Linked DNA regions of Xenopus tropicalis. The main gene of each other region encodes a partner of the protein of the gene in region 2 in a complex. Links are inferred from orthologs where the notes say so. Each region holds a gene or a part of one and is shown on either strand. Other genes may lie near its edges.

Region 1 (4,134 bases), on a different chromosome or scaffold from region 2:
CTACAGCAGGGAAAAAAGCCTAAGGCTGTCTATAGAAAATAATTTTGCCCCATGAAAATGGAGTTTTAAACAGAAACCAGGTGGAGATTCCCTTTTAAGGAAATAAGTGACAGTAGCTGGTACAGTAAGTTCCCAGTAAAGGGATATTCTAAATGCCATAGTAAACTGAAATCAGTGTTATTTCTGTCTTTAGAGAGCAGCTGTTAAAGCAGATTGACTGGCAAACAAGTTCTGTATAGATACTATACGCCTTTCACATTCAACATGAATACAGAGCTATAATTTTCAGCTGACCATATACAGAATATAACACTTCAACAATACATTTGATCAGCCAGCGATGGTGGCTTTGTCTTCGGGTGGTCCCGATCCACTATAGAGCAGAAAGTAGACATTGCCTGCTTTGCAGCACTATTAGTTTGCCTTAGAAAGGAGAGCTGCACCCAAAGCTACGAGGATCAGTTTGTGTCAGGCTGTGGCACTGGTATTTTCCTTTTAGTGGCTTTCACTAGGCACTGGTGCAAAACTGGGTACAATCTCTGGCAGCCTTCCATGCAGAGTCTAACCGCTTCCTCCGAGCTCTCGCCTTCCCACTCTCCACTGCTAATAAGTCCAGAAACCTGTGGGTACAAGAAAACATGACTGTCATTAGGAGTTCATTCCTGTAGATTTGTAAGCAAAACTAAATATTAGCCCCCTTGCTGAAAATGTGCATATAGTACAGCAATAAGATATTACATGAAATTGTTTTCAGCAAAAAAACCTCCTTTGCATTATGTCCTATACCATTTGTTGGCTATTTAATGGAAAATAAAAATGATGTCATTGGGAATGTTATGCCCCCACTCATTACAATTACTAATCTTAAACCCCAGGCTGGAGTTCCTTTTCAACACATAACACACTATTTCTGCCAGCACTGTAATGTTCTTTAAGTCCCCAGTCTCACACAGTGGTCCATGGGAGCCTTTCATAACATGGCGGCAAAGCACTGGCAGAGCTATACTCTTTTCTGTGTCAACTTTCTTTTCCACCTTAAGTTACCCAATAACATTTCTCAAATAATGCCAAAACCTAGTAACACCCAGAGATTCCCAGCAGTTTGAATTTTTTCTCCCATTTTAATGCCTGGCAGGAAAATGTCTATTTGGCAGAATGTTTAGCTGCTTTGAGAAGCTGAACACTAAGTCCAAAGCCCAATATTAAAACAATGTATATTATAAGCAATCTAAAATCGTTACACTGGAAAGACCATCATCACCAGCGCAAATACGTGATTCCAAGAGCTGCTTCATATTAGCGTACATGGATCCAGATTTCTCTAATGCTCCCAAAGTCTATTTTTTTTAAGTCACTATGTAACAGTTTCATTCAATTTAGGCTGACAGGTTAGGCTACACTGTGCCATTAACCCACTGCTCTACAGGCTGCAAGGCGAACAGCAGTGGCTACGACTCTTCTATGCACTTTTTCAATGTACACTATTTTTAAATTCTCTTTAGTTTACATACCAGCAGTTTTACACTTTATATATAATGATATTGTTGAACAGCAGCCTATGAGCTGCAATGGAGCCTGACCAGAAAGGTACGGATAACAGCCCTCTCAGATCAATGGCATGGCACCCACCCAATGAGCAGCAAATCTTGATGGAGGTAATTGCTTAGTATAGCATTGCCCTAGGGCACTGGCACGTGGGAAGATTAGTCGCCTGTGATACATCTTTGCAATCGAGTGAGACTAATCTTCTCGAAATGCCTTGCCACCAGCAAGAATGTGAATCCCCAGTGGGTTGGCAAATTTGCTGCATCAGTTTTCCTAAGTTGCCAGAAGTTTTCTGGAGAGGCAAATGTGAAGGAGCTGCTGAAGAGAGAAGGCACAATGTAGACAGATGGTGGAATCTTAATAGATGTATCATGTAAACTAAAGAAAACAAAGAATAAGTATAAAGCGTGAATGGGGCTCTGAGCTAATATACTTTCAATTTGTTAGGGGTTAATAGCTGTACTAGTAGGATGAGGGAAAGCAAGGAGTGCAGAGCTGGTGTGTCCCACAGTAACCCCCACATGCCCAAGCACTAAGCCCCTATCTGCCCCTACACCAGAAGTGGCACACAGGCCGCTGACCTGATTAAGGGTTGGCAAGAGGCTCAGGCTCATGGTGCCCCCACTCCCAGCCTCCTCTTCATCATCATCCGGATCCAGCAGAAGCTCCCCACCGGGGCCGCGGCTTAGCCCACATCCGAGCGCCAGGTCAAACATCTCTATCCCAGCATCGGCCAAAGCCAGCGAGGCACAAGACACGGCCGCAGGCAGCGCAGAGCCGCGATCCTCCAGCACTAGGACCCACACTATCACCTCCGCTCGGGGGTAGCGATCCAATCGCACGGCCGGTTCCAGACTTTCCTGTAGTTGCAGCCCGGCCTGGCGGGGAGAGGGCCCAGCGGGGCAAGAGCCAGACCAGGGTCCGCGGCGGGAGAAGGGAGCCCAGCGCAGGTCACAGAGCAGGCGGCCCCGGGTCTCTGCTCTCTCCCCTCCCATCCCGCGCTCCCGCGGCCCATGAACTGCGCACAGCACTTTAGTGCCGCCACTCCCGGCCTCCAGGTACGCGGAGCCTTTAGCCTGGCTCAGGAGGCCGGCCCTGACAAACACCGGCCGGGGCTCTGACGGACCGCGGCCCCTTCTCCCTGCGGCTTTTCCTCCTTCTTCACTCAGTACATAGAGCAAAGGGGACTGCGACTCTTCGGGGCCACGAATACGGCGGCTGTCTCCCGGCATGGCTATGCACTGGGTGATACTATCCTACAACGTGTTTCCTCCCACCGTGAGCACGGACAGGCCTAATGCGCCGAAACACCGCCGCACAGTGGCCACTCGATGAATTTTATCCTCTGTGCCTGGAACGGGCCTTTACTAGCACAGGGGTGCCCAGACACTTTGTCACCCTGTGATCTACTATTGGGTATGAAACTGTTCAATGCACCCCTGACTTTCATATTTAGGGTGTTTTATCTGGTTACCTTATGACCTAGCAGTAGATATGATGCTATAGAATGGAAGATTTGAAGCAATTTTTCAAAAAATGTCACAAATTTTTAGAAAAAAATTATAAATTTAGGAAAGCATTGCAACTTAATAGTTTGGAGTAGACAGACAGTTTTACTTATTCTGGATTCGCCAGAATCTGTTCTTTCCAGAAATGCATAGGTTTCTAGGGTAAACCTTCTGTTAGTGGAATTTTTGGCCTTAATGTGTGCAGCTTTCTGGAGCAGTGCTTTGGAAATATGGTAGTGTACTGCTGGGAGTTTTTGACCTATACAAGTGAGAAATCTCCATAAAACTATATATATTTGGTATTGGCACGTTCAGGAGACATGGGACTTTCCAAATCAGTTGTATTTATGTGCATAAAATAATTTATGTTTCTGATATATGTGTTTCTATTACATACCCTGCTGCTGGCTGCAGCGGATCGCTCCGGCTCCGTCTCTTCTTGGGCTCCTGCTCCTTATTCGGCTCCTCGTACGGTGGCGACAGGTCCTTTTATAAGGTTGCGCCCGTGCGTACGTGTGACGTCACACGTATGCACGGGCGCAACCTTATAAAAGGTCCTGTCTCCGCTGTACGAGGAGCCGAATAAGGAGCAGGAGCCCAAGAAGTCTATGGGGGCCGCTATGTATGGGGGCATTTTCTTTTGGAGGTACTCACTATGGGGGCAATTGGGGGGCTCTGTGTATGGGGGGGGCATTGTATGGGGGGACACTGTGTAAGGAGGGCTACTGTGTATGGGGGGGCACTGTGTATGGGGGGGCACTGTGTATGGGGGGGCACTGTGTATGGGGGGCTCTGTGTATCGGGGGGCTCTGTGTATGGGGGGCACTGTGTATGGGGGGCTCTGTGTATGGGGGGGCTCTGTGTATGGGGGGGCACTGTGTATGGGGGGCTCTGTGTATGGGGTGGCTCTGTGTAAGGAGGGCTACTGTGTATGGGGGGACACTGTGTAAGGAGGGCTACTGTGTATGGGGGGACACTGTGTAAGGAGGGCTACTGTGTATGGGGGGCACTGTGTATGGGGGTGCTGTCTATTGGGCCATCGTGGGCACTATTTTAAATATTTTAAAAATGGGGTGTGGCC
Region 2 (4,130 bases):
CCAATCATCTTCATTCTTCAGTGGCCCCAAGTTGGGGCGTGCGCAGTAGAGAGGAAAAGCTGGCATTTTTCACACTGCTGTGCATGCATATCCACCGTGAAGAAGGAAGAACCAGCAAACTGTTCTCTGGGCCAGTGTAGTTTTTTGCTAACAGGAGCACAATCTGGGGTATGCAGTAAGTGATTACAATCTCGGAGAGGGTGCCTAACATTTTTTTTTTTTACTCACAAAAACAAACAAGCGGGTCCAGTTACCTTGTCTTTTTCTGTAGCACGAATGTCTTCTTTCCTAGAAGCCAAAAAGCAACTATTTATACATAAGGCAATAATGTTAGATGCCCAGCTCTGGCTCTTAATCATATAATTTCTAAAAACACTGTGTAACACCTTAAAATGTACTTTTAAGCAATTCATACACAGGCAAACAGATTCAATAGCTTTTTTTGGATTTTTAATTTATTCTTAAATTTTTTGTTCTGCTGCTCTGAGGGTTGGAATTTAAATTCTCACTGCCAGGGGTTAATTATCCTAAAAACCAATGCGCAATCTTTACATGAAAGATGAAGAACAGCGGGCCCTGAAAAGAAATATAACCACTATCCATAACTGTCAAGCCCTGCAGTAAATATTTTGTTTTGCTGCTGGGGTCAGTGTCCTCAAATCCCCAGCCCGCATTTTCAGCTGCATGTATAAAGGAATCCATCTCCTGGTTCTCGTGACTTTTACTAATCTTCTGCAATACACAAGCCCAATCTTGCTTTATGGCATAAAAATTAAATTGCAAAAGGGGTTATGCGATTTTTTTTGAGCAAATGTCAGAACACATCTTCAACACCCAGAAATGCCAGTACATGGGCTCCCTCTATACTGCAGAAGGTTTACTTTAAATAAGAAGGGTCTAGCCTCAGAGTAAATCCTTTACCTGATTGTGCCTCGAAATGTGTTACTCAGTGGAGTTGAACCAATATACATAATTTGGACCTTTGCAAACCTGGAGTTAATGCTTGTTACCTAATTATGAATGGAAATAAAGACTAAATTAGAAACTCCATAATAATAAATGAAGTTTATTATAAGAATGAAAAATTAAAAAGTAAATGAAAAAAAGTTCACATTTCAAATTGACAAATACTGTGTTATAAAACATAGTGGAGCTTAAAAAAATAAATACCAGTTACAGATTGCCTCAAAGTATTGGTTCATTTAAAGTGAATATTACAATCTATAAAAGCTGATGTACAGATGGCACTCTCTTAGTTTTCCCACAATCATTATCATCTCCTTCCAAAGTGCTCCTTTTAAGCTTGTAAGTACCTCGTATCTCACAATAACCCATCATTTGGCTGGGACATGTTAATGTCATTGAGCCCTTTACACAGCTCCTTACCAGTCCTCTTGTACCTAAGCCAGCTTTTATGCTGAAAGGTCACCAAAAAGAGGATTTTTGCCTGATCATAAAAACTATATACATGGGTGGGATCAATGTTGGCTTCTACTCCTACTAACTGCTTTGTATAGCTGAGAAACAAATGACTGCCCTAAACCCAGCCCCCCCCCCCCCCCCCCCAAAAAAAAAAAAAAAAGATACATTTTACCACCTGTTATAACACAACACCACTACAGAATTCTACTTTGGTGTGCAAAATACATTCTTACCTTACAAGTGACAACAGAGCCAACATCTGGCAGAAGATGTGAATCAGTCTCTCTTACCACAGAAATAACTGGCATCTAGAAACCAAAAAAGTGCAGGTAAGGAAATAAAAATTTTAAATAAAAACTATATTATACTGGGGACAGTCTGCACAGGAGCAGCAAATTATTGTACTTTCAGAAATAGTTTAAAGATGAGCTTCAACATTACTTCAGGGCTGCATGTATGGGTGGGATCAATAGTATTGTCTAGGTGGCAAGACCCAACTGCCTGCTGGCACATATTCAACAATGTAAGACTGAGCTGGCTGCAAACTCCCAGTGACTGCTTTGTATAGTTGGGAAACAAATGACTGCCCTAAAATCCTCCCGAAAACATAAATGTTACCACTCGTGTATCGTATCTCAGCTATGTATAATAACAACCTACTACAGAAAACTACTTACCAAGCCATTGTCAGTTTTCTTCACTATGTAACCTGCCAGGGAGGCAAAAATATAGCCATGTCTGCAGAAAGTTCCATATCCAGGGGCACAGTCTTCAGTGCTGCACAGCCTTTCACCTGCAGAGGTTAAAAGAAAGATAACACAATAATACAACTCTGCACAGGGTATATAAAAAACAACCAACTTTTAAAAGTAAAAATAATATATTACTTCAGAGATTAGAACTTGAACTCAGAATTCCCAGAATGAAGCCTGACAGGAGAGCTGAAATTATATATATATATAGATTGTAAGCTCTACGGGGCAGGGACCTCCATCCTCTTGTGTCTTTGACTCTTAACTTATTGCAACTGTAACTGTATCTTGTATTTATTTGTATTTATTGTTATACTTTGTATTCATCTATTATCTTATTAACCCCCTGTTTGTATTAATCTATTCTACTGTACAGCGCTGCGTACATAAGTAGCGCTTTATAAATAAAGATATACATACATTTACTACAACACGAGCAGGAGAAATGTTTCCACAATTTCTTTTTACGGCATCCCTACTGTTATTACATCTCAGTCACTAACCCACAGCACTCCTACCCAACCCAGTCCTTCCTTACCAGGCACCGACACTAACTAAACACTGTGCCCTGCTTCACTCACCCGGCACACAGCACCTTACAGGAGCCATGATAAACACGTGATAACCAATACTGGGCAATGAAGGCTCCGATTGGGTACATCCCGGTTAGTGACGTAACATATCCTGCCATTGGCTCTTCAGCCGTCGCAGCGTGATGACGTACCACGTAGCAATTGTACAATTTGAGGCTGGAGTTCTGGCAGCCTTTACTTTATCTTAAAAAAACAGTGTTATGTTAGTATTAGTCTGTGTTCTAGAAATCGATTTTCATTTCTAAAAAAATATGGTTTTACATATCACAACCTGGCCAGATATGTGTTCCTATAGCAACAGAATGTCATTTACACTGCTTTTCCTGTGACTGTAATAGTTATTAGAAAACGTTCTCTTCACTATGACGTTGCATGGAAACCATAGCGAGGCAGGCTCTCTCAGCGTGAGGCTTCTGTACAGTGGTGCTTCCATCGAAAATCGATAGGTATATATATTTTCCTTAATAACGCAGAAAGAATACCGGACGAGGGGGTTACGGAATAAGACGCTATTCTTGGGATGTACGTTTCTCCCTTTTTGACCTCGTAACCTATAGGGGATAATCAGAACTTACAAAATGGTGTAATTATTCTCAGGGACAGGAGGCACACAGACAGCAATAAGCTCTTGCCTCGTACACCTACTGTAAGAAGAAAATATTTGAATATTTGAGATATATATATATATATACATGTGTGTATATACACCTTGCTTTATAATTGAACTTTTATCTTCTGTCAGTAACTAGGCCAGTAACTAACAACACTGCCAAGATGAATAATTCCTAGCCCTAATATACTTATTTAAAATTGACACAATTCACTAGTTTCCAACACAGTTGTCACCTGGGCATACAGTAAAATGCTTTTTAATTGTGTACCATTCATAGGGTCTAATAAACTAGTGGCAAGGGGGTTGTGCAGTTACTGTGTGGCCAGCGCAGATACAGTGCTGTACTGCCCCTTATGCACTAAAGCAGGTGCCACTGGAAAATAAGCATACAGCATGGGCATAGGCAGGCACAAGTACACATTGCATATAGCATTTAACAGCATCTTTTGTTAGTGCCTAGAAATTGTAATTGAGACCTTTACATAGTAGATGTGGTTGAAAAAGGACACACCCTTCAAGTTCAACGTTTTCTCTAAGAGAAACACCACTAATATCTAGTTAATCTGGAGCAATACAGATATCAGAAGGCATCTCCCATAAGCCTTAAAGGGAGTGAAGTAATTACTCCAACAATCCCTGGATCAACTTTTTGCTAAGAATTAAAAAAGTTTATTAACATATACCAACTCTTCTGGAACTAAGGAAAATGCTTGACAGAAAAGGGTATAAGGATACTATTGTTTAATAAAC

The links. Proteins that work in one complex are often made in the same cells at the same time.
Region 1: exosc1 (region 2) and exosc6 share a complex: the UniProt entries of both Homo sapiens proteins name them as parts of the RNA exosome core complex. The link is inferred for Xenopus tropicalis from reciprocal best matches to the Homo sapiens genes EXOSC1 and EXOSC6.

Annotation. Positions count from the first base shown.
Region 1 is NC_030680.2:74,926,509-74,930,642, reverse strand, and holds the start of exosc6 (exosome complex component MTR3), read right to left. Parts: upstream 2,801-4,134; 5' UTR 2,778-2,800; coding exon 2,127-2,777; intron 621-2,126; coding exon 459-620; 3' UTR 1-458. Other genes in the region: aars1 (alanine--tRNA ligase, cytoplasmic), read left to right, coding at 2,877-2,961. UniProt on the Homo sapiens protein: Non-catalytic component of the RNA exosome complex which has 3'->5' exoribonuclease activity and participates in a multitude of cellular RNA processing and degradation events.
Region 2 is NC_030683.2:32,985,207-32,989,336, reverse strand, and holds the start of exosc1 (exosome complex component CSL4), read right to left. Parts: upstream 2,801-4,130; 5' UTR 2,784-2,800; coding exon 2,756-2,783; intron 2,216-2,755; coding exon 2,100-2,215; intron 1,731-2,099; coding exon 1,656-1,730; intron 1,011-1,655; coding exon 922-1,010; intron 289-921; coding exon 255-288; intron 1-254. UniProt on the Homo sapiens protein: Non-catalytic component of the RNA exosome complex which has 3'->5' exoribonuclease activity and participates in a multitude of cellular RNA processing and degradation events.